Linked DNA regions of Arabidopsis thaliana. The protein of the gene in region 1 purifies or fractionates together with the protein of each later gene. This does not show direct contact. Each region holds a gene or a part of one and is shown on either strand. Other genes may lie near its edges.

Evidence for each region.
Region 2: the proteins of SSI2 (region 1) and Hop3 fractionate together in Arabidopsis thaliana (co-fractionation; one large-scale study listed by BioGRID). This does not show direct contact.
Region 3: the proteins of SSI2 (region 1) and Hop2 fractionate together in Arabidopsis thaliana (co-fractionation; one large-scale study listed by BioGRID). This does not show direct contact.
Region 4: the proteins of SSI2 (region 1) and AT1G30580 fractionate together in Arabidopsis thaliana (co-fractionation; one large-scale study listed by BioGRID). This does not show direct contact.

What each region holds. Positions count from the first base shown.
Region 1 is NC_003071.7:18,116,630-18,124,369, forward strand, and holds SSI2 (Plant stearoyl-acyl-carrier-protein desaturase family protein), read left to right. Parts: upstream 1-3,243; 5' UTR 3,244-3,477; coding exon 3,478-3,617; coding exon of another isoform or gene 3,618-3,621; intron 3,622-4,724; coding exon 4,725-5,229; intron 5,230-5,305; coding exon 5,306-5,866; 3' UTR 5,867-6,260; downstream 6,261-7,740. Other genes in the region: AT2G43700 (Concanavalin A-like lectin protein kinase family protein), read left to right, coding at 1-1,870; AT2G43720 (FAM136A-like protein (DUF842)), read left to right, coding at 6,664-6,786, 7,058-7,195, 7,488-7,670.
Region 2 is NC_003075.7:7,336,217-7,344,038, reverse strand, and holds Hop3 (stress-inducible protein), read left to right. Parts: upstream 1-2,677; 5' UTR 2,678-2,799; coding exon 2,800-3,636; intron 3,637-4,093; coding exon 4,094-4,382; intron 4,383-4,471; coding exon 4,472-4,781; intron 4,782-4,858; coding exon 4,859-4,985; coding exon of another isoform or gene 4,986-5,015; exon of another isoform or gene 5,016-5,059; coding exon 5,060-5,173; 3' UTR 5,174-6,021; downstream 6,022-7,822. Other genes in the region: AT4G12410 (SAUR-like auxin-responsive protein family), read left to right, coding at 610-1,083; PME1 (pectin methylesterase inhibitor 1), read right to left, coding at 6,866-7,486. UniProt on the Arabidopsis thaliana protein: Mediates the association of the molecular chaperones HSP70 and HSP90. Mediates nuclear encoded chloroplast preproteins binding to HSP90 prior to chloroplastic sorting. Involved in acclimation to heat.
Region 3 is NC_003070.9:23,228,499-23,235,421, forward strand, and holds Hop2 (stress-inducible protein), read left to right. Parts: upstream 1-2,423; 5' UTR 2,424-2,527; coding exon 2,528-3,403; intron 3,404-3,501; coding exon 3,502-3,790; intron 3,791-3,882; coding exon 3,883-3,968; intron 3,969-4,070; coding exon 4,071-4,294; intron 4,295-4,391; coding exon 4,392-4,458; intron 4,459-4,560; coding exon 4,561-4,620; intron 4,621-4,768; coding exon 4,769-4,882; 3' UTR 4,883-5,045; downstream 5,046-6,923. Other genes in the region: NG1 (Pentatricopeptide repeat (PPR-like) superfamily protein), read left to right, coding at 1-533; AT1G62730 (Terpenoid synthases superfamily protein), read right to left, coding at 706-1,620; SCO1 (Translation elongation factor EFG/EF2 protein), read right to left, coding at 5,124-5,291, 5,380-5,892, 5,964-6,923. UniProt on the Arabidopsis thaliana protein: Mediates the association of the molecular chaperones HSP70 and HSP90. Mediates nuclear encoded chloroplast preproteins binding to HSP90 prior to chloroplastic sorting.
Region 4 is NC_003070.9:10,830,314-10,838,570, reverse strand, and holds AT1G30580 (GTP binding protein), read left to right. Parts: upstream 1-2,935; 5' UTR 2,936-3,116; coding exon 3,117-3,203; intron 3,204-3,536; coding exon 3,537-3,704; intron 3,705-3,807; coding exon 3,808-3,931; intron 3,932-4,258; coding exon 4,259-4,350; intron 4,351-4,511; coding exon 4,512-4,610; intron 4,611-4,709; coding exon 4,710-4,823; intron 4,824-5,141; coding exon 5,142-5,206; intron 5,207-5,365; coding exon 5,366-5,482; intron 5,483-5,589; coding exon 5,590-5,665; intron 5,666-5,859; coding exon 5,860-5,952; intron 5,953-6,272; coding exon 6,273-6,323; intron 6,324-6,519; coding exon 6,520-6,618; 3' UTR 6,619-6,898; downstream 6,899-8,257. Other genes in the region: AT1G30590 (RNA polymerase I specific transcription initiation factor RRN3 protein), read left to right, coding at 1-21, 114-224, 306-395, 576-701, 798-866, 983-1,089, 1,199-1,282, 1,376-1,463 and 3 more; HERK2 (hercules receptor kinase 2), read right to left, coding at 7,089-8,257. UniProt on the Arabidopsis thaliana protein: Hydrolyzes ATP, and can also hydrolyze GTP with lower efficiency. Has lower affinity for GTP. Exhibits GTPase activity.

The DNA.
Region 1 (7,740 bases):
TAAAGGTTACAGGACGTTGACGAGCACCAAGAAGCACGCATATGGTCAAGCCTTCGAGGACGAGATAGTCCCTTTCAAGAATTCGGCCAACGATACAGTTACTTCTTTCTCTGTCACGTTCTTCTTTGCTATCGCCCCTGAGGATAAGCACAAAGGCGCTCATGGTATGGCCTTCGTGATCTCTCCCACAAGAGGCATTACTGGTGCCTCCGCTGATCAGTACCTTGGAATCTTTAACAAAGCAAACAACGGGGATAGCTCAAATCATGTCATCGCTGTGGAGCTCGATATAAATAAAGATGAGGAATTTGGCGACATTAACGATAACCATGTTGGTATCAACATAAACGGAATGAGGTCTATCAAATTTGCTCCTGCTGGTTATTATGATCAAGAAGGTCAATTTAAAGATCTTTCTTTGATAAGTGGAAGTCTACTCCGAGTCACGATTTTGTATAGCCAGATGGAAAAACAGCTTAATGTCACCTTATCATCACCAGAGGAGGCTTATTACCCGAACAAGCCTCTTCTTTCATTGAACCAAGATCTATCACCCTATATTTTGGAGAACATGTATGTGGGCTTCTCAGCCTCAACGGGGTCTGTTAGAGCAATGCATTACATGTTGAGTTGGTTTGTACATGGCGGCGTTGATGTTCCAAACCTGGACTTGGGAATACCAACATTTCCTCCATATCCCAAGGAAAAATCTCTGGTTTATCGGATTGTTTTGGTGACCAGCTTGGCATTGGTTCTCTTTGTTGCGCTTGTTGCATCAGCTTTAAGTATCTTTTTCTACAGGAGACATAAAAAGGTTAAAGAGGTTCTAGAGGAATGGGAGATCCAATGTGGGCCTCATAGGTTTGCTTACAAAGAACTCTTTAAAGCCACAAAAGGTTTCAAACAACTTCTAGGCAAAGGAGGGTTTGGTCAGGTCTTTAAGGGTACACTTCCAGGTTCTGATGCAGAGATTGCCGTTAAACGAATTTCACATGATTCAAAACAAGGAATGCAGGAATTCTTGGCTGAGATATCGACAATTGGTCGGCTTAGACACCAGAACCTAGTCAGGCTTCAGGGTTATTGTAGGTACAAGGAGGAACTCTACTTGGTTTATGACTTTATGCCCAATGGAAGTCTTGACAAGTACCTCTACCACAGAGCGAATCAAGAGCAACTCACTTGGAATCAACGTTTCAAGATCATCAAAGACATAGCCTCTGCACTCTGCTATTTGCATCATGAATGGGTACAAGTTGTAATTCATCGAGACATCAAGCCGGCAAATGTCCTGATTGACCACCAAATGAATGCAAGGCTCGGGGATTTTGGGTTGGCTAAGTTGTACGATCAGGGTTATGATCCTCAGACATCTAGAGTTGCTGGGACATTCTGGTACATTGCACCGGAGCTCATAAGAAGCGGAAGAGCAACCACAGGGACAGACGTCTATGCCTTCGGGCTGTTTATGCTAGAAGTCTCTTGCGGTAGGAGGCTGATAGAGCGAAGAACAGCCTCCGACGAGGTCGTCCTAGCTGAATGGACATTAAAGTGCTGGGAAAACGGAGATATTCTCGAGGCAGTCAATGATGGAATCCGTCACGAAGACAATAGAGAACAGCTCGAGCTTGTTTTGAAATTGGGAGTGTTGTGTTCGCACCAGGCTGTAGCAATTAGGCCAGACATGTCTAAGGTGGTCCAGATCTTGGGTGGTGATCTGCAGCTTCCAGATAATCTACTCGATATAGTCAAAGCAGAGAAGGTCAGAATGTGGTCTGAGACATCTGAGAGTGTACTTGGTGTTTTGACATCACAAGGGTCCATTGGTACCTTGACGTTAACGGAACCTTTTACCTCCCGGGGACGCTGAGACGTGATGCTGAGTTCGGTCGTGAAATGATATATGACATGTTTGTTTGTAAATATTTTATGTTTTCGATTGATGACAAAGGAGTCAGAAAGGACACTTGACCATCACGGAAGCGATGACTTCCGTCGGACGGTAAAAAGTGATGGTCGAGGTTTGGTGAGAAATCTAAAAATGTGACGGTGTTTGCTTGATAAATATCTTTATTTTGGTGATTGTATTGAATGTATCGTTTTGATTTCTGTTTATACTTATATCGGCGGTGGAATAATTACACATGACCTGAAAAGTATGCGTTTGTGTTTACTTTTATGTTGTAGTACTTGTTGTGTTTTTCAGCTATGAAAAGTCTACATATTTCTTCTGTGTGCTAACTTATTGGATAAATTGGATATTTTTAAGAGATCTAATGTTTACACAAACGTATGGTGAACACCAATGGGGATGTTTACACACACTTATGATTTATGACTGAAAGAGATGTTAATCGAAGTATATACTCCATTGATTAATGTTAATCACCGAAAGAGATGTTAAACAAGCATTAATGTTTACACTTAAATGTGATGGAACGAAAACAAAGAATAAGTTTAAATTTGTTGTCATGGTCTCAATGAAAAACCGAAAACGTTGTGCTATCAAATTACTCAAAACGTTGAGCTAGCTAAACTTGGCAGAAAAGTATCGAATGATGCTAAAATGCAAAAAACCATTAAACCCAATGTACGGTTTATAGAGTTTTCATATGCCAAGTGGGACATCCACGTGGAGATCCTATGCCACTTGTCCCCTCTCTGTCTCTTTCATGCTTCAAACTTATTTGGCTTTTACGTGGATTCTCACGCCCGAGTACGTCGATTATTACAAAACTCACATAAATTAATATAAACACTTTATATTTTGTTTTGACCTTTTTACCCCTTCTCATTGCTCATCAATTTTCATAGATCTAATACCAAATTATCACACATATAGGAGAGTCATCTAACAATTAGCACAAGTCATGAGTGAAAGAGACTAAGCATGAATCATAATCATCTTTGACATAGGTGCTCAAAAGTAATCAATTTTTTCAACTTTACTATTCAACTCAATAAAAGAATTTTTAATCAACAATTCTTTTCAAGATGTATCCCTTTTTTTTCTTGCAACTTTTTCTCAACTATATTAATATTTAGTATACTGCTACTTAGCTACTCGATGTTTTGATGTATCATTGATCATTATTGTTGACTAATAATTATTTGATACAAATATTTTACCGACATATGTAAGAACAATAGTGTCAAAATTGAAGCATCTCAAGGGTATTTTAGAACAGATACCCAATTTATTTATTTTTATAATTTGTCACCTTGTTTTTCACACACAAATGACAATATGACGTCATTTTCCTTATTAGAATAATTTTTTTAACAAAAAAAAGAATTATTTATTTTCGTCTCTCTTATTGCTTGCTACGCTCAACGCTGTGCATAAGCATTCTCTTTCTGTGGACGAAACTAAACCTGAGAGAAAAAGCCAGAAGAACCAAACTCAGACCGAGAGATAGAGATTGAGGGAGAGCTCTAGCTCTGTAGAAAAGAAGGATTCATTCATCATATCCAGAAATGGCTCTAAAGTTTAACCCTTTGGTGGCATCTCAGCCTTACAAATTCCCTTCCTCGACTCGTCCGCCAACTCCTTCTTTCAGATCTCCCAAGTTCCTCTGCCTCGCTTCTTCTTCTCCGGCTCTCAGCTCCGGCCCCAAGTCAGTCTCTTTCTCTCCATCATCGTCTCTCTTATCTACTTTCGATTCTCTCTGTTTCATCTTTGTTTACTGTGTTCTGGGTTTTGCTTGTTCTTATCGATATTGGATCTACGTTTTCTCGATTTTGTTCAGTGTTATTTGCTTACATTTGCTTAATCTCGAGTGTGATTTCAATAAAAGTACGTTCTTTTAATCTGGGTTTATAAGAATGGGCCATCCTCTGTTCTCAGGTGATTCATTAATGCTCTTTTTCATTGAATCTGATGTTTGTTGATTGTTCCCTATTATTCTCACGTTTCTCTGAGATTGCCCCATCTATCAAATCGTTGCCTTTACCATATTTATTCTGCATCAGATTATGTAGATTGCTCGTTGATTGGTTGTTAGTTAAGATTAACACTAGTTATCTTCTTTATGGTATAATGATCTTTAGATTGGTTAAGACTTAACAGACATTGAGGAAAGCTTCTTAGTCAAAGAGAAAGTTTTGTTTTGTTTTCTCTGGTTTAGTAATTTTTAATGGTGAAATGTTTATCCACTTGTTTCTTACTCATTTGATGAGTTTTCTCTTTTGTATTGACAAGAGATTCTTGAACGTATCAGTTTACGTCTGTTTATCTTTCTTCAAAGACATTACGTTGGATATCACGCTTCGTGGCCTTTCTCTATGCATGCGTACTTCGTGGCTTCTCTCTTTAGTTTGCGTCCAAAATTTTCACACTTTTCTGTAATTTATTATTCATTCTTTCTCTGTTTTGAAGACATTTGGCTCTTTATCTTGTCTTTGTCTGATCAGTAGTCACTACATTTGTTTCTTTCACAATCTTTCTTTTTTGCTTCATATTGAACTGCAAGACCAATCCATGAATGCAAATATAAAATATTGTCTTACGGTTAACCATCTCTAAGTGTTTGCTAGTCATGAATTGTGAAATTGTTTCGCTTCAAACATAGAATTAGTTGATTTGGAAATGTAGACATGAATGCTTATCTAAATACAATAAACTGTGTTCTTGTTTCAGTTGTGTATCAGAGATGAGACCTTGACTGGTAATTTCAATGGAGCATAATTAAATGCTAATGATACTTATTTTCTGGTTAATGCAGGGAGGTTGAGAGTTTGAAGAAACCATTTACGCCACCCAGGGAAGTGCATGTTCAAGTCTTGCACTCCATGCCACCTCAAAAGATCGAGATCTTCAAATCTATGGAAAACTGGGCCGAGGAGAACCTTCTGATTCACCTCAAGGATGTGGAGAAGTCTTGGCAACCCCAGGATTTCTTGCCTGACCCTGCATCAGATGGGTTTGAAGATCAGGTAAGAGAGTTAAGAGAGAGGGCTAGAGAGCTCCCTGATGATTACTTTGTTGTTTTGGTGGGGGACATGATCACAGAAGAAGCACTTCCGACCTATCAAACTATGTTGAACACTTTGGATGGAGTTAGGGATGAAACAGGTGCTAGTCCTACTTCATGGGCTATTTGGACCAGAGCTTGGACTGCAGAAGAAAACCGACATGGCGATCTTCTGAATAAATACCTTTACTTGTCTGGTCGTGTTGACATGAGGCAGATCGAAAAGACCATTCAGTACTTGATTGGATCTGGAATGGTGAGATAGTTTCAGGCAATTATCATGATTTCTTGGTTAATATAACTACCTAATCGCTTTAACTTATCTTTCATAGGATCCGCGGACAGAGAATAACCCCTACCTTGGCTTCATCTATACGTCATTCCAAGAAAGAGCGACATTCATCTCTCACGGAAACACAGCCCGCCAAGCCAAAGAGCACGGGGACATCAAACTAGCCCAAATATGTGGCACAATAGCTGCAGACGAGAAGCGTCATGAAACAGCATACACCAAGATAGTTGAAAAGCTCTTTGAGATTGATCCTGATGGTACTGTCATGGCTTTTGCAGACATGATGAGAAAGAAAATCTCAATGCCTGCTCACTTGATGTATGATGGGCGCAACGACAACCTCTTTGACAACTTCTCTTCCGTGGCTCAGAGGCTCGGTGTTTACACCGCCAAAGACTATGCAGACATTCTTGAGTTTCTGGTTGGTAGGTGGAAAATCCAGGACTTAACCGGGCTTTCAGGTGAAGGAAACAAAGCACAAGACTATTTATGCGGGTTGGCTCCAAGGATCAAGAGATTGGATGAGAGAGCTCAAGCAAGAGCCAAGAAAGGACCCAAGATTCCTTTCAGTTGGATACACGACAGAGAAGTGCAGCTCTAAAAGGACAAAGACAAAAACAAAAACCTATCCTCCCGGTTCCTCATTTCATCTGTCTGCTCTTAAAATTGGTGTAGATTACTATGGTTTTCTGATAATGTTGGTGGGTCTAGTTACAAAGTTGAGATGCAGTGATTTAGTAGCTTTGTTTTTCCCAGTCACTATATGTTTGGTCTTTGGTCCGTTAGCACACTTGTAGTAGTTAAAACAGTTTAAGTATGGTCTGTACTCAGTCTTCCTCTTCTCTGTGGAGTTTTGTTTAAGTTCAGGTTAGTTTTGTTTTGTCTCTCTGTTTTTTCCCCTGTTTCTCGACAAACAACTCATGTGGCTTTTTAGCAATTTTGATGGATGATCATGATGAATAATTGAATATCTTCAATGTCAGTTTACATTTAACTAATTGGTCAATGTTTGACGATCATGCTTAATGCTTATCTCTATAAATTAATGTAAAGTCAATAATAATGAAACCCTTGACAAAAAAAAAGTGAGAAGTTGATAGATTTTGAAAGAAGAAACAGAGACGGCTGTTGAGGTAACTTCATGCTTGAGCCAGACTAAAGGAGATGATAATGTTCGTAAATGGGCCCAATTTAAAAGAGGCTAGGCCCAAATAAGGTAGTGTTTCAGAGATGGGAGGCGGTTGAAGCTACCTATGAGAACTTGGGGAAGGAGTAAAAAAATGTTCTCTTTTTCAGTCTTTTTTTGTCTAATTTTTTTGCAAGTAAAGATTCCAAACTTTTTCGAGTGAATCATTGTGAGAGCAAAGTTGAACTAATAAATCAACTCGCCGGGAAAAAATGGATCAAACGGCGGAGGAGAAGATGGTGAGAGAGAGGATTAGAAAGAAAGTTAACGAAGTCAGTTCTGCGTCGCAGTCTCTTCTTTCTCCAGTACAAGACCACATCAATTTCACCCTTCAAGTTCGTCTCTTTCTCTCTCTCTCTCTCAAACAAAAAAAAAAGTTTTTGAAAATTTTGATGTCTTCTTTCTAAAATTGAAGAAACAAAGTGGATTTTTCACAGCTCCCTAGACTCAGTTTTCTTTCTCCTAGTTGCTAAATTCCTAAAGTTATGTTCTCTGTGTATACTCTTCGAAGAAGCCATTGGATATGTACTTGGACTTAGTTTGCTTACTGCGTAGTTTGAGATTTATATAAGAGTTAGTTATTTTTGTGCTTTTGTGTTGATGCAGAAGGCATATTTCAAATGTGCATACGAGTGCTTTGATAGGACAAGAACACACGCTGAGATTAGTCGATGTGCAGAGAGTTGCAGTGTTCCTATCACAAATGCACAGAACTACTTTGATAATGAGATGTCGGTGTTCCAAGTGAGTCTATTTCTCAACTTTATTTCCAGTTACAATTTGAGATTGATACAGCAAAATTTACAAATGCCCATGAACGTTGGAAAATTGGTGATTGAAGTCTTAAAGTCTTTTTCTTGTTCTATTAGAGGTTGATGGATGATTAGTGATTGGTCTGAAACTTTTGTTTTTCAAATGTGTTATTATGAAGATAGTTTAGTTTGTTGTCTCCTGGATTCTCTATTACATGACAACAGCGCTTGGGTTTGAGTACTAGATATTCAAGATGGTGTTTTGGTTTTACTGATGAATGTAGGAGAGGTTGAATAGATCTCTTGTGGTTTGTCAAGACAAGTTTGAGGTTGCTAAGCAACAGAAGACGAGAAGTGAAGCGGTAAATGATTTGGAGCATTGTGTAAACCAAACTGTTGATGAAGCTGTGAAGACTCTGCCTAATCTCGTCTCAAGAATGAAGAAAGCTTTGTCAATCACAGACTGAGCTCTCCAACGATTATAAAGAGGGACTCTTTTCTGATACTTAGAATTTATGTTTCATTGATCTCATATAT
Region 2 (7,822 bases), on another chromosome or scaffold:
TCGAGGTCTTAAGTGTTGAAGTAGTCCGTTCCCACTGAATATGATCAAAGCTTAGCTAGCTTCTTCATTGCGATAATTTATGGTAACACCCCTGACCAAATTAATTAAATAGCTAATGTTTACACAAGTCTTGTAAATATATCTCTTGTAATATATTTCATTTTAAATATCTTGAGGTTTTTTTTTTTTTTGGCACTTAAGATTTGGAATTTTAAGTCGCATGTTTTGAATAGAAAAAAAAAGTTCCCTAAATTTTGAAAAGATGATAAATGATACGAAAATATAACAAAAAATACAAAAAAAAAGTTGTATTTGGAAAACTATCCATCAAAGTGGACACATTTAAAAAGCACACGCACACATAAGAGTCATAGCTCCTTGAAGGCTATATAAGAGGTAACCTCTTTCCCCATACCCAAACAGTCTTCTTCTTCAACTCTATAACATAAAACACAGAGAGAGATACCAAAAAACAAAAACCAAAATTTTCTCCAAATCTATTTCTTTCGAATCAAACCCATTTCTTGAAACTCGATTTCAAACAAACCCATCTCATTGTTTTCACCAAAGACTTTTTTTTTTTTTGTCGGAATCTGATTAAAACCAAGCATGAAGAGAGTCAGAGGGTTCAAAATTGGACACAGATTTGTCAAAATTTTCAAATGGATACCAAGAAACAGATGCCCGACCCGAATCACAAACCCGGTTACCGGAATCCGGTCATTAGCACGGTGTTTAAGCCGTGGAGCTAAGAGATTGTGCGGTGGAAGCAAGAAGAATCCGGGTCAGAATCAGATCCGGTTGGGTAAGGATCCGAAAAAGTCGAACCGGGTTGTTCCTCGAGGACATTTGGTGGTTCATGTCGGCGAATCAGACGATGACACGCGGCGAGTTGTGGTGCCGGTGATTTACTTTAATCATCCATTGTTTGGAGAATTGTTGGAGCAAGCGGAGCGGGTTCATGGGTTTGATCAACCGGGTCGGATCACTATTCCTTGTCGGGTTTCGGATTTTGAAAAAGTCCAGTTGAGGATCGCTGCATGGGATCATTGCCGCAGGAAAAATTCTTACAAGATTATATAATTTGAATTTATAAAATAGTCAAAAATCAAAAGAGGATTAAAAAAATTTATATACACTTATACAGTACAGAGAAGGATGATTTCCTTTAATTTGTGAATATTAGTTTTTTTTACCATCTATGTTATACGATAAATACCGATTCATAAATACAAGATAATTATTTGTATCAGTTTATTTCATGGATGATAGACCACATTGACATCCTATAATACTATATGGTTTAGATTTATGTGTGTAATTTTATAAGTTAGAACAAAACTGAAATTATGTTCTAACTTATAAAATTACACACATAAAAACTGAAATTAAAAAAAAAAAACAGAAAAAACTGAAATTGGGCTATCAGTATTTTTGAATACTTATATTTCAATATATCAAATACAGTGAGTGATGGTGTATTGCTGTATCTGAAACCTATCATCCACTATAAACCCCAATTGAAGTGAAACAATCAATATTTAGAATTTCCATATAATGTTAATTATGAAATTACTTCTATCTAAATATATTTCAGAAGAATTTTTGAGATACCACTTTTATGATTTTTATTTTTTTTTAATAATACCACTGTTTTTTTTTTTTGTTAATTTTCAATGTAACACAAAATGCAATCATAGAATTTGTTTTATTAACTTTTATAGAGCATATTATAAAAACGTTTATAAAGTTTCTATAATGCATAATATCAAACATTTATAAGATTTTTCACAAAATTTTTAATGTTTTATAGTGCTTAGAAGATTTTTCTTAAGAAATGATATGAAACTAGAATTTTTGAACAACCTTTTTCTGGTCTTTTTGAAAAATGGTATCATAAAGGTGGTAATTTTCAAAATTTCCCAAATTTGAATACAAATTCAAATCATATTGTAGGAAAGTGATCAAATATGTTAAAATTTAGAAGATGAGGTGAGAACAAATGTGCAGAGGAGATGCACTTGCTAAATTTGCATCTTCATGTGATTTGTATTTTGCTTTTTAGATTGTAGTTTACCACTTTGGTTGGTTACAAGTATTTGGAGAAACCATGTACTACTTGTTCTTTGAGTATTAATATATATGATTATATGTGGTATGTTTAGAAAAAAACAAAAAAACCAAATATCAAACCTAAACTTATTAAAAGTAAAGACACATTTGATTAAAACCTAAACCAAAAACGTACAAAACTATTCGCTTATGATGATATTATTTATCATAACCAAAACTTTAATCACCATACATACCTCCGATTTGGTTTTCTCTCCCAAACTGGTCGTCTTCTCACCTCTGGTTTACTACTACTTCGGATTGAAGAATTTTGATCGTCTCGTTGCTAACTCCACGATGTCTTTCTGACGCTTAATCTTCTGACAGAAGACAAAGACATAGCATAAAAAAGTAAGCACAGAACATAAACGGATGTTTATTCTTTTCTAGACGGTATATTTACATAAATAACGAATCACTTATCAAAAAGCTGGAGTAGCTCAGTTGGTTAGAGCGTGTGGCTGTTAACCACAAGGTCAGAGGTTCGACCCCTTTCTCTAGCGTTTCTTTTCCTTTTGTATTTTTAAGATTTAAAAACATTTTTCCACGGCTACAAAAGAACATTCTCGACATACACAAAAAAATTCGAAATTTCGAGAACTCTCTTGTGCCTTCTTCTTCATCTTCCTCTGTTTTTAAAAATGCAATCAAGCAGATTCTCACGATACCTAAACCAAATCCAATTCAATGGCGGAAGAAGCAAAATCCAAAGGAAACGCAGCTTTCTCTTCCGGCGATTACGCCACCGCAATAACCCATTTCACAGAAGCAATCAACCTTTCACCAACCAATCACATCCTCTACTCAAACAGATCCGCTTCTTACGCTTCTCTCCACCGTTACGAAGAAGCTTTATCAGACGCGAAGAAGACTATAGAGCTTAAACCTGATTGGTCTAAAGGATATAGCCGATTAGGTGCTGCGTTTATTGGATTGTCCAAGTTTGATGAAGCGGTTGATTCGTATAAGAAAGGATTAGAGATTGATCCGAGTAATGAGATGCTTAAATCGGGATTAGCTGATGCTTCGAGATCTAGGGTTTCGTCAAAGTCGAATCCTTTTGTTGATGCGTTTCAAGGGAAGGAGATGTGGGAGAAGTTGACGGCGGATCCGGGGACTAGGGTTTATTTGGAGCAGGATGATTTTGTTAAGACGATGAAGGAGATTCAGAGGAACCCTAATAATCTTAATTTGTATATGAAGGATAAGAGAGTTATGAAGGCTTTAGGGGTTTTGTTGAATGTGAAGTTTGGTGGATCTAGTGGTGAAGATACTGAGATGAAGGAGGCTGATGAGAGGAAAGAGCCTGAACCGGAGATGGAACCTATGGAGTTGACGGAGGAGGAGAGGCAGAAGAAGGAGAGAAAGGAGAAGGCTTTGAAGGAGAAAGGGGAAGGAAATGTTGCTTATAAGAAGAAGGATTTTGGGAGAGCTGTTGAACATTATACTAAGGCCATGGAGCTCGATGATGAGGATATTTCGTATTTGACGAATCGTGCTGCTGTTTATCTTGAGATGGGGAAGGTATTAAGTCTTATACTTGGCTTAAAAGTTAAACCTTTAGGTACTTTAAGATTAAGGAGGAGATCTTGGGTTCTTGAAGTAGCTTATCTGTTTAGTATAGCTTGTCACTAGTTAGTACATTTGTGATGACCTTGATGGGTTTTGATAACTTTCATCTGCTTCTTGTTGGAGATTTAAGAGTTTTGAACTTAAGTTTTCACTTGTGCTGAAAGTAGTTAGCTTTAGATGAGGTAGAAATTTAGGGTTTATGGCTTCATGATGGAGTTTATTCACTTGTTCTGTAGAAGTGGTTATCTTTATTATTACTGGAATCAATTAATCTTCAAGTATCCTGAGTGGTTCAATTCCATTGGTCTATGTGTTCTTGCATTAGTCTTGTTTAATTAACAGTTGGTTCATCTGGATCTTACTGTATCTTGTGTGATGTTTTACTTCATTTCTCAAATGAAATTATCAGTACGAGGAGTGCATTGAAGACTGTGACAAGGCTGTTGAAAGAGGCAGAGAACTTCGTTCTGACTTCAAGATGATAGCAAGAGCTCTGACTAGAAAAGGATCTGCTCTAGTGAAAATGGCGAGATGCTCGAAAGACTTTGAGCCTGCGATTGAGACTTTCCAGAAAGCTCTTACAGAGCATCGTAATCCAGATACATTGAAGAAACTGAACGATGCTGAGAAAGTCAAGAAAGAGCTGGAGCAACAGGAGTACTTTGATCCTACGATAGCCGAGGAGGAGCGAGAGAAAGGTATATATACTGATCCTCAGTTACACTTACTATCTTGAAACGTGATTTGATTTTAGGATTAAGCATTTGACACTTCTTCATTGATGCAGGTAATGGATTCTTTAAAGAACAAAAGTATCCAGAGGCAGTGAAGCATTATTCAGAAGCAATCAAAAGAAACCCGAACGACGTGAGGGCATATAGCAACAGAGCTGCTTGTTACACAAAGTTAGGAGCATTACCAGAGGGATTGAAAGATGCTGAAAAATGCATTGAGCTGGACCCAAGTTTCACGAAAGGATACAGTAGAAAAGGAGCTATTCAATTTTTCATGAAGGAATACGATAAAGCTATGGAAACGTATCAAGAAGGGCTAAAACATGATCCTAAGAACCAGGAGTTCCTTGATGGTGTTAGAAGGTTTGCAAATTTTGGCATTCTCTCTTTGTTGTTTAACCTTGCAAAGATCGGTCTAGTGAAAGTGTTGTTGTTTTCAGATGTGTGGAACAGATAAACAAAGCGAGCCGTGGTGATCTGACTCCAGAAGAATTGAAGGAGAGACAAGCAAAGGCAATGCAAGATCCTGAAGTTCAGAACATATTATCGGATCCAGTGATGAGACAGGTAAAAGCAGTGGCAAGCATTGTGTTCTAACTCGTAAGCTGTCTGTGAGACTTGTGTGATGATGTCTATTGTAGGTACTAGTGGACTTTCAAGAGAATCCGAAAGCTGCACAAGAGCATATGAAGAACCCAATGGTAATGAACAAGATTCAGAAGCTGGTTAGTGCCGGAATTGTTCAGGTCCGGTAAATTGGTTATGCTAAACCGGAGTGGTATATTGAATCAAACCGAAGATGTTTCCAAATTTTCACTGCGTTCTTTTGGGCTTTTGTTAAACTGATGAAACTCTGATTTGGTTTGGGTCATGTTTGAGGAGTTGTTGTAGAATGAATCAAGTCTGTGTTCTCCTAGTTTTATATGCTACTTCTTCGAATTTTCTCAAAAGAATCTTCAAACGAAATTTATAATTGCTGTCAAAAAATTTTAAAAAAAACTATAATTCTTTTTTGGTCGAAAATTATAATTTAAAAGTCAAAAGCTGTAAAATCTTTTTTGTTTTCTACATGTCTCTTTTACAGAGGAATAAAAGTCTTTTTAGACGGGCCTCACGTGCATTGCACACGTTATGGTGACTAAGAAATTGTGCAATAATCAGATTGTGTTGAATTTTCTCTTCCACTTTTCTTTAATACAAAATATAGTTTAAAAAAATATATATATAGATTTTTCTCTAGTGGAACGGTTTGTGGAAAGTATTTTAAGATTTAGATCTTAAGATTTTGTTTGCCCAAAAAACAAAAACAAAAAGATCTTAAGATTTTAAAATCTATGAAAGTTTAGGAGTTTTAATTTTAGAATTTAAGTTTCAGAATCTAAGATATGTAATTTTCCTTTGCTAACTGAAAAAACATAAGTAATAATTTCTGAATTTTGATTTAGAACATAAAACTATTTCCCATAACTTTTTATTTTGTTAATTAACGATTATTTTCAAAATTATGACATGTTCCTAATAAATACTATTCGGTTAATCGGTTCACTACACAAATCACAAATTCGTAAGGGGAGGTGTACCGATGGTTAACCAAATTACAGAGTACTTTTTTTTTTTCTTGCAATAGAATTTGCATAGATTTTTCATAAACATTCCATGCAAAAGGGTTAATAGATGTTAAATAGTAATTTAAGAGGATATAATTCATATATACTTGCATGTTTTGTTCATGTGGCAAACAGCCTAAAAATATTTGTATTTCCATAATTGTACCTAATTTGCTTCCATGATCACTCTTCACCGTTACTTCTTGGACTTGTCTTTCCCAAAAGCTAACAATCCGAAGGTTTATTTAAATTAAATCAAAAGAGCACTTAGTGTTTAACTTTAGACTAGTGATAAGATTTTCACACCTGCTCCCAAACTACCAAAGTAAATGGAGCTTATGTGGAAAGAATGTCATCATAAGATTATTCAAATAGTAAAGTGACTAGCTCTTGGTCTAATGGTTTCCGTGAAAAGGAACAAAAACACTAAAGGGTATGCAGAAAGTAGGAGATTTGTCCAACTTAGAGGTTATAATTTGTATGCTTAGAAAAAGTGTATATGTGTGAAGTAAGAAACTCATCTGATTTTAGAAAACAGCATTGGTTATTAGAGTGGTTAAAAATGGTAAACATTATTGTGGCCATCCATTGCTTATATCCGAGACCGTAACTATATTGAAATGTAGGAGCTCATCCAATTTTTGTGGCCAATTCTTTTTCTCCATAAACCCGTTAAAATCATCGTTATCTCTAGTCGAAACCATGACAAAAGCATAAACATCCCAAGCCTACACATAAATACAAAGTATCATAAAGAAACAAATCACCCACTAGGACAAAAAAGAAAATACATGACAAAACCTTATTAAGGACCGAATTTTAATTTATTAGCCGAATATTCTATGACTTATGCCTAGCCGCGAACCGGTTTACAAGAGCCAATGCATTACTAGTAACTCGAGCCACATGAACCACTCTTCTTCTAATCGCTGATTTTACCACACCGTCCATAACCTTTCCATCGAACCCATCCAGACACGTTGTCTCATCCGTTAAGGCAGCACTAACCCAAGTCTCAACGTTACTTAGTCTCCACAAGAACTCGTCTCGATCACGACCAGATCGACCAACTTGCTTCAACTCCCTCATCGACTGAGCCAACATCTCTAAACCGTCTCCAAGATTTTCAACACAATCCTTCACGGCTAAGTACTCTCTCCTTTTGATTCTCCTAGCTTTAGTCAGCTTCCCTACATAGATTGTCGTGGACTGAACCCGGACTAGAGTAACGGCTAAAGCGGTTTGAGCTAACTGGTTTTCGTTGCGGCGGATTTTGTCTGCAAAAGCGGCAAGGCATTTGACGCAGAGAGTTTGGTAACGCGTGACGCGGCATGATGAGACAATGAAGTTGATGCTGCTGCTAGGGTTTGGTGATGATGAAGGTTTGGCTATGGTGGATTGGCAGAGTAGTGGAAGAAAAAGTAGAAGGCAATAACAAAGATGGGTTAGCTTTGGTTCCATTGGTGTGTGTGTGGGGTTCTTTGTTCTATTTGTGGTGCGTTTCAATTAAAAGGCATATGTGTGTATACACGAGTGAGGTGTTATTTATAGGAGAGCTACATTTATTGTATTTTTTTTTGTTATAGATATTGTTTACAAAAAGACAATCTGTATTAAAAAATAAACTCCAAATGGTTTTCCATTTAGTGATTAGAAAACAATACACTTTGGAATTCTGATACAAGTATACAACAATAATTCCCTAGTAGAAACCACTGTTTATAATCTTCCATATATGCTTGTTCAAGTTTGAGAGGATATATATGTATTATTATATAGCATAGATTAGTATTTATC
Region 3 (6,923 bases), on another chromosome or scaffold:
GTTGTCTCCCCGATGTAGTGACTTATAATACTCTCATTAACGGGTTTTGCAAGTCTAAGAGGGTTGATGAAGGAACGAAACTCTTCCGCGAGATGGCTCAAAGAGGATTAGTTGGTGACACTATCACATACAACACTATAATCCAGGGCTATTTTCAAGCGGGTAGACCAGATGCGGCGCAAGAAATTTTCAGTCGGATGGATTCTCGTCCCAATATTAGGACGTACAGCATTTTGTTGTATGGGCTTTGTATGAACTGGAGGGTAGAGAAAGCATTGGTGTTATTCGAGAATATGCAAAAGAGTGAAATAGAACTTGATATTACTACTTATAATATCGTCATTCACGGGATGTGCAAGATTGGTAATGTTGAAGATGCGTGGGACTTGTTTCGTAGCCTTTCTTGCAAAGGACTTAAGCCTGATGTTGTGTCCTACACTACGATGATCTCAGGCTTTTGTAGGAAACGCCAATGGGATAAATCAGATTTGTTGTACAGAAAAATGCAAGAAGATGGGCTTCTTCCATTATAACATATGAAAACTGTATATTATTTGTAAGTAAAAAACAAATTCTTTATTTTGTATTCATCACCATTTGTAATTTTGTATTATTACAAAAGAAATACAAGTAAGCTGGAGTTTAATGTAAAGTCTTTGAAACCAGAAATAAAAGAGGCAAGAAAAGGGAGATAAAGACAAGTTTTCAAAACATTGCTCTCCATGAATACCACTTGAGTTTAAACTGAAACAAGAGTGGAGGAACACCAAGAACTCCTCTTTGAATCCTGGGATCAAACACATCGAATTGTACTTTATTTAACGAATCCAGAAGAACTTGTACCGGCACAGAATGAAGCAGTACCGGTTTAGCTTCTGCAGGAACCTTTCCCGCCAGTTCACGGGCTTTCAGGAGATGTGCATTGGCAACAGATGCAATCTCAAACACGACATTGCTTAGTCCTTCTCTTGAATCGTTATCCAGAAGAATTTCTAATCGTCCACCTTGTTTCACGAGCAACCCGTGCTTCTCAGCGAGATCTGCAGGGATGTAACTCTGGTGACGGTTTCTGGTACAGTGGTACGGTAATGATTTAAGCAGCAAGACAAGACCACTGGCTTTACCAATGTGTGAAGCTGCATGATCAGCTGTTGTTGAACTAATTCCGCCTGCTTGGAGTGTATTGTACAGAAGAGTGGAAACTGTGTCTTCTGCGTATTTCTCTAGCTCCGCAATGCTCTCTGGTATATCGTCTACTTCTCTTTGGGCATCTCGGATTCTAGCGTCAACTGAGCGTTTTAGCCAAGGTTTACTGATGTTATGTTCTGATATTGCCCAAGACAGAGCTTGTGCAGCTGGATGGTTTATGGGCTTTTTGGTGTAGAGTTTGTCAATTGCTTCTTGCCACCAAAGTAACCGCATCAAGCCGATTTTGGGATCAGATGCAACATCCATGGCTCTTGCGGTTTCTACATTAAAAGCCCGGAGAGCAAATGCTGCTTTACGCATCTCAGTTGGGAGTTCAAGGAGACAGAGGTAGTGATGATAGTCATAGTTTCGTACTTGCTGCACACAATAGGACAATGCTGAACGCAAACTACTCGAGCCTCCTCCATTCATCAGTATAACTCCAACTGTGTTTCTTTCTCTTATCCTACAACCATATAAACCACAAACAAGATCAGTTCATAAAAACAATGAAAAACTCTGGTTTCTTCTATCACTCCATTATAAAACAGTAACACAGAATTCATCTACAAACACAAGAGAAAATCCTCCAATTATCACCACTTCAAATAAATATACTGAATAATTCTCACTAATCCAGAGGTTTTGTGAACCGTTAAACTCATTCAGGAATTAACACAAACACTTGGTGGACAAAGCACTGGAATTGGTATTTAACAAACAAAATGAGAACTTTTCAACATTGCTTAACACACAATCATAAACCCAATAATCACACATGGATAACAAATGAGATCACTAAAGTTCACAGAAACTTTCCAATTAGTAATGTAAAATCGCTGGAAACCATTAATGTCGTCCAACAATAACGAAACGAGCAAAAAACACCTTACCCTAACTCGAAAAACTCTGAGATTCAAGTTTCCTATGTTTAGGAACTGAATCTACCATCCAAAATCCAAATAAAATCAACCTTTCGACCCGAAAATGGAAATCGAACTCTGAACAATCGTGCCGGAGAAGAAGCGTTGGGTCAATGTAGAGAAATACGTCGTCGATTAATATAAAACCACTAATGTTATTACACGACGTCGGTTCTGCTACAGTGTAACAGGAAGTCGGTTTTGTTATAAAATGACACGACGACGTTTTTATGTAAAGAACTGTTTAATGAATAAACGTGATTAGGATAGTATTAACCCGAAACCAAACACTCTTATATCGAACAAATATATATACACTCGTATTTATTCGCCTAAAGCCAAAAACCCATTAGCCCCTCAAGGTATCTTCCAGAAGCAACGAGAAGACCTGCAAGAGAAAATTTTCAGATTCAACTATGGCGGACGAAGCAAAAGCTAAAGGAAACGCAGCTTTCTCCTCCGGTGACTTCAATTCCGCCGTTAATCACTTCACCGACGCAATCAACCTAACACCAACCAATCACGTTCTCTTCTCAAACCGTTCCGCTGCTCACGCATCGCTTAATCACTACGACGAAGCTCTCTCAGACGCGAAGAAGACTGTTGAACTTAAACCAGATTGGGGAAAAGGTTATAGCCGTCTCGGTGCTGCTCACTTAGGTCTAAATCAGTTCGATGAAGCCGTGGAGGCGTATTCGAAAGGGCTTGAGATTGATCCAAGTAACGAAGGTTTGAAATCAGGTTTAGCTGATGCGAAAGCTTCTGCGTCTAGGTCACGCGCTTCCGCGCCCAATCCGTTTGGTGATGCTTTTCAGGGACCGGAGATGTGGTCGAAATTGACGGCGGATCCTTCTACTAGAGGGTTATTGAAACAGCCTGATTTTGTTAATATGATGAAGGAGATTCAGAGGAACCCTAGTAATCTTAATCTTTATTTGCAAGATCAGAGAGTTATGCAAGCTCTTGGAGTTTTGTTGAATATTCAAATCAGGACTCAACAGGCTGGTGATGATATGGAGATTGGTGAGGAAGAGATGGCTGTGCCTTCTAGGAAGGAGCCTGAGGTAGAGAAGAAACGAAAACCTGAGCCTGAGCCTGAGCCTGAGCCGGAGTTTGGAGAAGAGAAGCAGAAGAAGCTTAAAGCTCAGAAGGAGAAAGAGTTGGGGAATGCTGCGTATAAGAAGAAGGACTTCGAAACTGCAATCCAGCATTACTCTACAGCTATGGAGATTGATGATGAAGATATCTCTTATATCACTAATCGTGCTGCTGTTCATCTAGAGATGGGAAAGGTATAGTTTTCAAAGTGTTCTTTTTTTTTTGTGTGCTAGTCTAAAGTGATTTGCTTTGGTTAGGTTATGAGTCTTAATGTCTATGTGTTTTGTTTTAGTATGATGAGTGTATCAAGGATTGTGATAAGGCTGTTGAAAGGGGTAGAGAGCTTAGGTCTGATTACAAGATGGTGGCTAAAGCTTTGACTAGGAAAGGAACTGCTTTAGGGAAGATGGCTAAAGTCTCGAAAGACTATGAACCTGTGATTCAGACTTACCAGAAAGCTCTTACGGAGCATCGTAACCCTGAAACATTGAAGAGACTGAATGAGGCAGAGAGAGCAAAGAAAGAGTTGGAGCAGCAAGAGTACTATGATCCTAATATCGGTGATGAGGAGCGTGAGAAAGGTATATACTTTGCAATTGTATGTGCTGTTTGTGCGAGGAAGAATCTCTTAGAATTCAGTAAATGTAGCTGAACTAACATCTTTGTAACACAGGTAATGACTTTTTTAAGGAGCAAAAGTATCCTGATGCTGTGAGACATTACACTGAAGCGATCAAGAGGAATCCAAAAGACCCGAGAGTAAGGCGGATTCATCATCATATATCCTTCAATGTTGTGCTCAAAAAGAGTTCCGTATTTGACTGTTTTAATAACTTGTTTACTTTTTTGCTCGTCACATAGGCATATAGCAACCGGGCTGCATGTTACACTAAACTGGGGGCAATGCCCGAAGGATTAAAAGATGCAGAGAAATGTATCGAGCTCGATCCAACATTCTTAAAGGGATACAGTAGAAAAGGTGCAGTCCAGTTCTTCATGAAGGAGTATGACAATGCAATGGAAACGTACCAGAAGGGTCTCGAACATGATCCTAATAACCAGGAACTTCTTGATGGTGTTAAAAGGTATTTATATAAATAGGTGTTAAGTCACGGGGAGATTATTCGCTTCTGTTATCTAGTAATGTCAATATGCTTATGTAACATGTTTTAAACCATGCAGATGTGTACAACAGATAAACAAGGCAAACCGTGGCGACCTTACTCCTGAGGAATTGAAAGAAAGACAGGTTAGATTCTATTACTGCTTTGAAACTGCTTTGTTACGGGTTTAAGAGAAACCTGTGATCTTAAACTAAAACTTTTGGGATTTGCTTTCGTCCTTATTGCAGGCTAAGGGAATGCAAGACCCAGAAATTCAGAACATTCTCACAGATCCTGTAATGAGACAGGTAAAGAACACACTTCTATAGATGATGTTAGAATTCACAAATCTCTCTATGTTTAGATCAAACATCTCGGAGCAATCCTGGAAACTGAAATTGAGCTATCTCCATGTTGATATGTCTCACCAAAATCTAACACTTGTTCTTTGGACAGGTACTGTCTGATCTCCAGGAGAATCCAGCAGCAGCACAAAAGCACATGCAGAACCCAATGATCATGAACAAAATCCAAAAGCTTATCAGCTCAGGAATCGTCCAGATGAAATAAACGAAGCCAAGACATTGATTTCGATTTTGCTGAGTCATTACTCTTTTATAACTCCAAACACTAAGATCGAATTCTTCTCATTTTTCAGACTTTTCTGATATATCAATTTTTCTTTCTTTCTCATATCCATGCGTTTTAAGACAATAACAACCTTGTCTTCACAAATTTGATTAGCTTACATGTCTATATAGACCAAACAAAATCACAATAAGTTTTTATGTCTAGGCAAAACAAAATCTGTTTAAGCAGCAACTTCTTGATCCTTGGATGAAAGTTGGTTCTGAATATGTTGAGGAACAACGTCGAACTTAGCCAGTTGCATTGTGTAAGAAGCTCGACCTTTTGTCATCCCTCTCAATGTACTCACGTACTGAAACATCTCTGCCAATGGAACCAGAGAGTCGACCACCTAACAATAATAAGAACAACAATGTCAAAATCAGATTTCATCATCTAACAATTTAGGGGTTTTTTCGATCATTTTGAATAAAACATACCTTGAGACCACCGGGTTTGTCTCCGAAGCTGTTAATTTGACCTCTTCGTGAGTTAAGATCACCAATGACATCACCAAGATGTTCTTCTGGTGTAACAACTTCAACTCTCATGATAGGTTCAAGCATTCTCGGACCCGCTTTCCTCATCCCTTCACGGAAAGCTCCTCTTGCAGCAAGCTGGAAAGCTAGCACGCTTGAGTCTACGTCATGGTAAGATCCGTCAACTAGACAAGCACGGACATCAACAACCGGGAAACCAGCAAGCACACCGGTGCTCATACACTCCTCAAGTCCTTTCATGACACCAGGAATATACTCTCTTGGCACAGCTCCTCCTTTGATCTCACTCTTGAATTCGTATCCTGACCCTGCTTCCAATGGCTCAAACCGGACTGTAATATCAGCAAACTGACCTTGTCCACCTGATTGCTTCTTGTGTGTGTATTTCACTTCAGCTATTTTGGAGATACTCTCACGGTAGTTGACTTGCGGTGCACCAACGTTAGCCTCCACCTGAAAGATGAAAAGGAATTAGAAGCTTGGAAGCTTGAAGTAGAGAATTAGATTTATAGGTTATGTTTTACCTTGAACTCTCTTTTAAGTCTGTCAACGATAATCTCGAGATGAAGTTCTCCCATTCCTTCAATGACGGTTTGGTTCATCTCTTCATCACGAGAAAAATGGAAAGACGGGTCTTCTTGAGCGAGCTTGATCAACCCTGTCGCCATTTTGTCGATGTCTGCTTTTGTTTTTGGCTCAATCGCTACCTTGATGACGGGATCAGGGAAGTCCATTCGTTCAAGAACAACGGGGTTTTCTGGATCACTCAAGGTTTCACCAGTGATTGTATCTTTGAGACCCGCAAGAGCGATAATGTCACCTGTCAAAGCCACTTTAACATCTTCTCTGCTGTTTGCGTGCATTTCCAAGAGTCTTCCGATTCTCTCCTTCTTTCCTTTGTTAGCATTCAACACGTAAGAACCAGCTGAGATTTTCCCTGAGTAAACCCTCACAAATGTAAGAGAACCCACAAAAGGATCACTCATGATCTTGAATGCTAGCCCAGCAAATGGCTCGTCATCATCTGGTTTCCGTATAATGGTAATTTCCGGGTTCTCAGGATCTGTTCCATTCATCGGCGGGACTTCAACGGGCGAAGGCAGATAATCGACCACAGCGTCGAGCAATGGCTGCACTCCTTTGTTCTTAAAGGCTGAACCACATAGAATTGGCACAAACTTGCCCGTGATGGTTCCTTTTCTAACCAATCTCTTTACCGTGGCCTCGTCAGGCTCAACTCCTTCTAAATAGTTCTCCATGACCTCATCATCCAAATCAACAATCAATTCCATCATCGCCGCCCGATACTCTTGAGCCAAATCTTCAAGATCTTCTGGAATATCCTCGTAACTGAACTTTGCACCAAGCTCTTCTCCTGACCAAACTATAGCTTTCATCCTCACAAGATCAACAACACCTTTAAAGACATCTTCAGCACCAATTGGTATCTGAAGCACCAGCGGCTTAGCACCCAAATTGGTCAC
Region 4 (8,257 bases), on another chromosome or scaffold:
AAAATTGACAAAAAGGACCCTGTAAGTTTTTTTTTTTTTGGTTATAGTTTAGACTATGTAACAGTGAGGTCATATTGGTGGTAAAGAATTGAAACTATCTTTTTGTCTTGAAGTCTATAGTGACATATGTGGATAACCTGTTGAGGTTGGAGAATAGCTCAATCGGAGAAGTTGTTGGCAGCGTGATTCTTATGATGGTAATGGAGAGGATGCTAGATTTAGATGTAAGTAGATGTTAATTTTTTATAAAAATGTAGCCACTAAGTAAAGTGGCAAGTGAATGATATGCTTGAGCATCTTTGTAGTTGGTAAGTGGATGTGATGACTCTAATGGAGGCATGTTTGATATGGAACTTGAAGATGCAGTTGAAAGCACTATGAATGAAGGAGACGAGGTAGGGTTAGTGTAATTTTTTGCTATCTTTGCAAAATCCCGAAACTTACTCTGTTTAGTAATGATCGAAAGTTACTTGATGACAAGATACCATTTTCTCTTGTTGTGAAATGTTAGACATGACCTCTGGTTTCCTGGAGAAGAATGTGTCATCATTCATAAATTTGATCTCTTTTTGCAGTTTCCAGTGGGGGCTCTAAAACAAAATACTTCAGGTGGAAATGTAGTCTCTGAACTGTTGGACAAATTGATGGTCCTATTTTTTCATCATCTAGAATCCTGTCAAAACTCTGATCGTTTGGATGAGGTATGGCACCAAATGGTACTTGTTCAACATATTTTTCCTTTCCTTTGTGGTAGATTCATTGATCTTTTGGTGTTTCTGTTTTTCATTTTGGCATAGGTATTTGAAATCCTCTTTAAGTCGTTCGAGAACTATATTCTGAACACATACAAAACAAAATTTTCACAGGTAGGCATCAAAGCTATCACCTTACATACTACAAAGTTTTCATTGTAGGCTTCTAGCATTAGTTCATTATCGGCATGTGATGTCTTGGCTTAGACTCACTCTACTTTCATCTGCAGTTTCTGATGTTCTATGCATGCTCACTAGATCCTGAAAATTGTGGTGTGAGATTTGCCAGTAAGCTGTTGGACATATATCTCTCCAGCAACACATGTCGACTTACTAGGCGAGTTTAATCTTGTCCTTCTTGGTAAAGATTTCTCTGCATGATATGAAGCTAATATTGTTCTAATCACCACTTGTGTATTCTTTTGTTTTCTCTTTATACTTAACAGGATGAGTGCAGTGGCTTATCTAGCTAGCTATTTGTCTCGTGGAAAGTTTTTGCCTGCTTCTTTTGTGGCTAGCATGTTGAAAAGGTACGTATTGCTAAAAAATGGAAAATGTAATTGTTTGATCTGATTTAAGTCTCGCTTTGTTGTAACATAGTTTCTCTTTTGCTGAAATCCTAGATTGGTGGACGAGTGTGCGGAATATTGCGGAACATGCAATGATGATGTGAAGCCAGAAGCACATCAAGTGTTCTATTCTGGATGTCAGGTATAGTCCAAGTTTAAGACCATCTTATGGCTTTTGATTCCTTAAGAACTCTTCTGTGAAATCATTGACGTCTCTAGTTATCAATCATTGTTAATGTTCACACCCTTACCAGAAGCTTATTGGCGTTTGGGATCATATGCTATTATGTCATGTATCGCTTAAAGTTGTTACTTTTCTATGACTGTAGGCAATCTTGTATGTGCTATGCTTCCGAATGAGATCCATAGTGGAGATTCCTCGCTTTCAATCGCAGTTTAGATCATTGGAGTCAATTTTATCTCACAAACTAAACCCACTACTGGTGGGTGACTTACACTAATCATTTTCTTCTCATAGCTCAACTGTTATTTTAAGTAGTCTTCACTCCAAGTATCAAATGCATTATGCTTGCACCATTCATTTTGTGTGAACAGGTGTGTCTTCCATCTGTAGTTTCCGAGTTCCTTAAACAAGCCAAAGCTGGTGGTCTGTTCATTGTCTCAGAATCCTTCATTTTCGATGACCTACACGAGTCTGAGCTCTCTCGTGCTTTTGGTGGCTTTGAAAGGCTTGACACATTCTTCCCGTTTGACCCGTGCTTGTTGAAAATGTCTAGCAGGTTTGCTATCTTTACTCTTGATTATTTTTTCTCTTCCAAAGTAAGGACAAATCAATGTGAGAATCTTACACAAGGTTCTTGACTCACTGGATGAATTTACCCGACCTGGGCATATTTGATACAAATTCTACTGCATACATCTTAATTACAGTCTTGAAATGACATTGAAAATTATTTTAATATGATAAAACAAGTGATGAATCAAAGTATTTGCATTGGATAGGCTTGAACTCTCTTTCTCACACGTGTTTTCTTGTCAATTCTTGAAGCTACATCTCCCCGAACTTCAACTTCTGGTCAATGGTGAAAACGACTTATGGAGAAGATGGTGACGAAGAGCTTTGTGATGAGGTCATAGTGAATGGAGATGCAGACAGTGCGGAGGAACCTGACGATGACGTTGAACTTGATAGTGAGATGAACACGATGTCTACAACTCCGAAACACTCTTTCATGCGAGAAACAGAGAGGCTCTTGAAGATGCCTTCAAGAATCAGACCATCCACTAGTCCTCCTGAATCCTTCTTAATCTAATAGTCATAGAGAGAGGGAATGCAATTTTGCAATGTAGGTTTCTTATTACAATCTCTTAGCTAGTGCGTAAACTCTAAAAAAAAGAAGTTGACATGAGTTTTGTGCGAGTCTGTGGTATTATCTGATCGCATGTGGTTTTGTAGCAAAATTTTGAAGAACATCTATGAAGTAAAATTTAGTCAGTTGGTTTATGATTACCTAATTTGAGTTTCGGTTTAATTTGGTTAAGTTGAAATGCTGAATGATTGATTTCTCGGTTTAGTGTTCAATATTGGGTTTACTTTGTCCACAAAATTGGTTAAAAATAGCTCTTTGTATTTTGGTAAATGTCCCGCAAATGGTTAAAAGTAAACCGGGAATTGACCCTCCGATTTAAACCGGTCCGTAAACCAGCTGAGCAATCTCTCTTTAACCTCGGCGTCGGCGTCTTGTAGCTTCTTCTGCTAGGCTTTGTTAATCAGCAAAAACCCTAGAATATCTTAGAGCTTCGCTTCACTTTCAAGCTCGAGACTTTGAGAAAGATGCCTCCGAAAGCCAAAGCTAAAGATGCAGGTCCCGTAGAGAGGCCTATTCTTGGCCGTTTCTCTTCTCACCTCAAGATCGGAATTGTAATTTTTCTCTTCATCTCTCTTTTAGAATCCAAGTTGATTAATTTCGAATGGTGAATGGTAGATTTGCTCATCGCAATACTTTCCTCGATAAAAGTTTTTTTTTTTTTTCTTCTTCTGAGTTTTGCCGGGAGAGATCTATTAACTCATCAGTGATGCATGATGATATTGTTTGTTTCGTTGTGTTTGTCACTGTACTCTTTTAGATGTTTAATCCATATTTAAGAAACTGCTTCTTTGATACAGTGATTAAGGTTGATTGTTCATGGTTGATATGATGATATGGAGAAGTATTGATGTTATTCACTATGGGAATTGTTTGTGGCATCGCAGGTTGGGTTACCAAATGTTGGAAAATCTACTCTTTTCAACACTCTTACAAAGCTTTCAATTCCAGCTGAGAATTTCCCCTTTTGTACCATTGAGCCTAATGAGGCACGTGTGAATATCCCCGATGAGAGGTTCGATTGGCTTTGCCAAACTTACAAGCCTAAGAGTGAGGTAAGTTTGTAACTTTATTTCATGACTTGCTGTTAAGGAAGAGATTACTACTATCTGAATTACTTTATGAATGGGCTGACTTCTGTCTGTTTTGATGCCTCAGATTCCAGCTTTCTTGGAAATTCATGACATTGCTGGGCTTGTTAGAGGAGCTCATGAAGGACAGGGTCTTGGAAACAACTTCTTGTCCCATATTCGTGCAGTTGATGGAATTTTCCATGTTTTACGTATGGTTTTTCCCTCTCGCTTTTTCTCCTAGTGCCAGCTTTGTTTTAGTGTGATGCGTGATTTGATGAATAATTTAGACTGTACTGCTACTTGTGCTGTCTTGAATTTCTACTTGAGCAGGCTTTTCAATGAGAGACAGGTTAAAAACCTTTATATATTTTTCTTCCCATTTGATACCTATAGGGCCATTGCGATAGTTAGTTTATGTTTTCCTCTCCAAGCATATCTGTTCTTGAACAACGGGGATGTTTCTTTAATAGTTGCTGATAGTAAGATATCTTGCCAGTTATATAGTGGTTAGTGACTTTTCGATTGAACATATGCAGGTGCTTTTGAAGATGCTGATATTATCCATGTCGACGATATCGTGGATCCTGTTAGAGATTTGGAGACCATTACTGAAGAGTTGCGGCTAAAGGTGAATCAAATCTCTAAACAGATATTTGACTGCTATATCTCCAAACTCGTGAAATCCTTTCTGTGTATATTAATACAGTAGTCTGTTTTTTGTATTAGTTGGATCTTCATTTCATCCATTGTTGTTTTGGTTTCAAACTGAATTCTTTGGTGCAACTTTAGGATATTGAATTTGTTGGAAAGAAGATTGATGATGTCGAGAAGAGCATGAAGAGGAGCAATGACAAGCAGCTGAAAATAGAACTTGAGCTCTTGCAAAAGGTATGCTATAATTTGACAACCATGCAGTCTTGTTCTGCAAATGTTATTGCTCATTAATTATTAATTGGCCGAAAAAATGACTGTACCTCTCTGGTTTAGGTAAAAGCTTGGCTAGAAGATGGTAAGGATGTCCGTTTTGGGGACTGGAAAACAGCTGATATCGAGATTTTGAACACTTTCCAATTGCTTTCTGCAAAGCCCGTTGTTTACTTGGTGAGTAGTCTTGAATGTTCATCTCTTTCTGTTACCATTGTTTCTATCAAGATAAATGCATTTGCTTCTTTCATATCTATAGTCGACAATTTTGTTCCCTCAATTTTTTTCGGGTCAGTTTGCAAAATGTAGGTCATACTGTCTATTTTTGTGACACTATTTGCCCCCAAATTTAACCATAGTGTGTTCCTTAGCTATTTCTGATCTCTATGCTTTCATGTTTGTTTCAACTATGTGTTTCATCTCAGTGTAAGAACTATTAAGGCATCTTGGTTGGACTTTTTGTGATCACTGGTTACTCTGAAATTTAAATTACAGATTAACCTGAATGAGAGAGACTATCAGAGGAAGAAAAACAAGTTCTTGCCAAAGATTCATGCCTGGTACTAATATATATCCTTTCACAAACTATGTTGAATAATAAGTAAAACATTTTGCCCCTTGGTTGTTGCAAAAGTTTCTAATATGGCTACGTGCTTACACATTTACTTACCTTATTATACTTCTCCTAAACTAAAAATATCTGTTTCATCATTATGTAGGGTTCAAGAACACGGTGGTGATACTATGATTCCTTTCAGTGGTGTGTTTGAAAGGAGTCTCGCTGATATGGCCCCAGATGAAGCAGCAAAGTATTGTGAGGAGAACAAACTGCAAAGGTTAGGAATAAAAGAACAGCACCTTGCGAATGAATAGTTGCTCCTGAAGATGATTTTTCTTTATGAATCTGTTAAATTGAATCTTATGGCCATTGCTGCTTTGACAGTGCTCTTCCGAGGATCATCAAAACTGGATTTTCAGCAATTAACCTCATATACTTCTTTACAGCAGGGCCTGATGAGGTATTAACAGTCCCACTTTACTTGGCTTCACTACACGCTTTAGTCTCTAGTTCTCTGTGAAATTCTTCTAAGCATAATTGTTCTGTAATGAGCTATTTGGTAGTGCATGATCAGTGTTATGTGTCAAGTAGTGCATTGTTACTGGAATTTGATGGTTTATAAAATACATCCATCAATGATACTTTGATTTGCAGGTGAAGTGCTGGCAAATAAGACGGCAGTCAAAGGCTCCTCAAGCTGCAGGGGCCATTCATACTGATTTTGAGAGAGGATTTATTTGTGCTGAGGTACCATTTTCTCATTTCTCTTGAATCTTGGTCAATTCACTAGTTTATTCCTACCTAAAATTTACATGCGTAAAGCCTTTCCCCTCCAGATTTTGATGATTTGTTCTGTTATAGAGTTTATATAATCTTTCTTATGTTTTCACTGACAAAAACAAATGCTTGCTTGCATATTCTTATATTCATCTTGGTGTTGATTTCCTAGTATCGATGCAGGCCTGTAGATATCAAAGCAGAATCCTAATGCAAACCATATCTAATCAAATATTTTTCTGTTTTGAAATTCAATGTGATTTATTCCAATGTTGTTGTTGATGTCACAGGTCATGAAATTCGAGGATCTCAAGGAACTTGGCAATGAACCTGCAGTCAAGGTATTTGTCTATAACTTCTTTTCCTTCTACAATCTCTTAAGGTCTCGGTGGAGTAAGTAGCCTCTAAAAACAGACATGAAAATGTTAAGGAAGCTCTCCACTGTGCAAGATATCCTCGTTGAAGAGGCATGATTATATTTATAATGTTCATGGCGATGACACTTGGTCTAATTTATAATCCCTTCAACTAATGCAGGCCGCAGGAAAATACAGACAGGAGGGTAAAACATATGTTGTTCAGGATGGAGATATCATTTTCTTCAAGTTCAATGTTTCCGGTGGTGGGAAGAAATGAGATCCATCCGTCTGTCCACCTATCCGCGGTGTCCTCTCTGGATCTTGAAGCTCTATCCATTTCCGAGAAAGGAACCAAGCTGTATTTTCCGTTTTTGAGTGGCTTTACCAAACAAGTATTTGTAACTCTTTACATTTTGCAGTTAGCTAAGACATGTCTTTGCCTTTAGACAGAGCATTAAGCCTGCTGTATCGTTTAGAACTCTTTCAATAAGTTTTTCTCTACTATTTGGAAAGAACCTTGAGTAATTGTGCGTGAGAATGAGTTGAAGAAACCCAGCAAACAACTTCTGGTGCACTTATTAGCGAAGGAAACAAATGGAAAGAATGATTAAACGAATACCTTAAGGAAATTATATTTGCAGTGTATATTACAAGCTCTATTACAAAAGAGCTTCTGGATAGATCACAATCAATTATAACAAAAGAACAAAAGAATTATTTTGGGACTGGCCAATCCAATTGCTTCCTCTAAGCCGAATTGTGAAGAGCAGATCCTGTTTGGCTCTGCTCAGTTTCTGAGGAATCTTGATTGGAACAAGCTGGAAGAGTAAAGCTCTCTGGTGCTTCTTCTACCGCTTGGCTGCTCGAAAACGAGTTTTCTCCATTCTGTTTGCGAAGCCAAGCTTCATGAATCTGCAAAACATACTCCAAGCTCCATAACACTTCTCCCATCATTGGCCTGTTCTTCCCTTCATCCGCTAAGCACTTCTCTGCTATCTCCCCATACTTCTCCAACGATTCAGGACTGTAGTTTCCCCTCAGATTTGAGTCGATGATGGACTCGAGGTTTCTCTGTTTTTGCCAGCTTAAAGCCCATTCCGCAAGGTTGATCTGGTCTTTAGGCAAAGTTGGGTTTATAACAGCTCGAGCACAAACAGCTTCGAACAACACAACACCAAAAGAGTAAACATCTGACTTCTCTGTTAACTGTTGCCTTCTAAAGTATTCAGGATCAAGATAACCAAAACTTCCTTTCACAGCTGTACTCACATGAGTATGGTCCATGGACGGTCCAGCTTTCGACAGCCCAAAATCAGACATCTTTGCCACAAAGTTCTCGTCTAATAGTATGTTTGTTGTTTTGACATCTCTGTGAATGATTCCTCTCTCTGACCCTGTGTGAAGGTAATGCAATCCTCTCGCAGAGCCTATACAAGCTTCAAGCCGTTGCTTCCATGATAATGGCGGAAGGTTGCTTCCAAAGAGATGACTCCTGAGAGTTCCATTTGCCATGTATTCATAAACCAAGATCATCTCATTGTGCTCATCGCAGAACCCGATCAAAGACACAAGATGCCTATGCCTAAGTCTTGAGAGCATCACGATCTCGGTTTCGAATTCAGCAAGCCCTTGCTGAGAATGTGGGGTGGCTCGTTTTATAGCTATGAGTGTTCCATCTTCAAGCTCTCCTCTGTAAACCTTACCAAACCCTCCAACTCCAATAGCTAAACCATCATCAAAGTTCTTAGTTGCTGCACGAATCTCGGCTAGTGTAAACTTCCTTCCCATTGTAGATGCTGCAAGAGTGTTCAGTCTCAGCGAGCCTCCCGTTGCTTTGGCGTTTGCAGTACTGTTATTGACATGCAAAAACAACGGACGCCACCCGGGAGGATTGTTTTTCGACTCATCTGATTTGC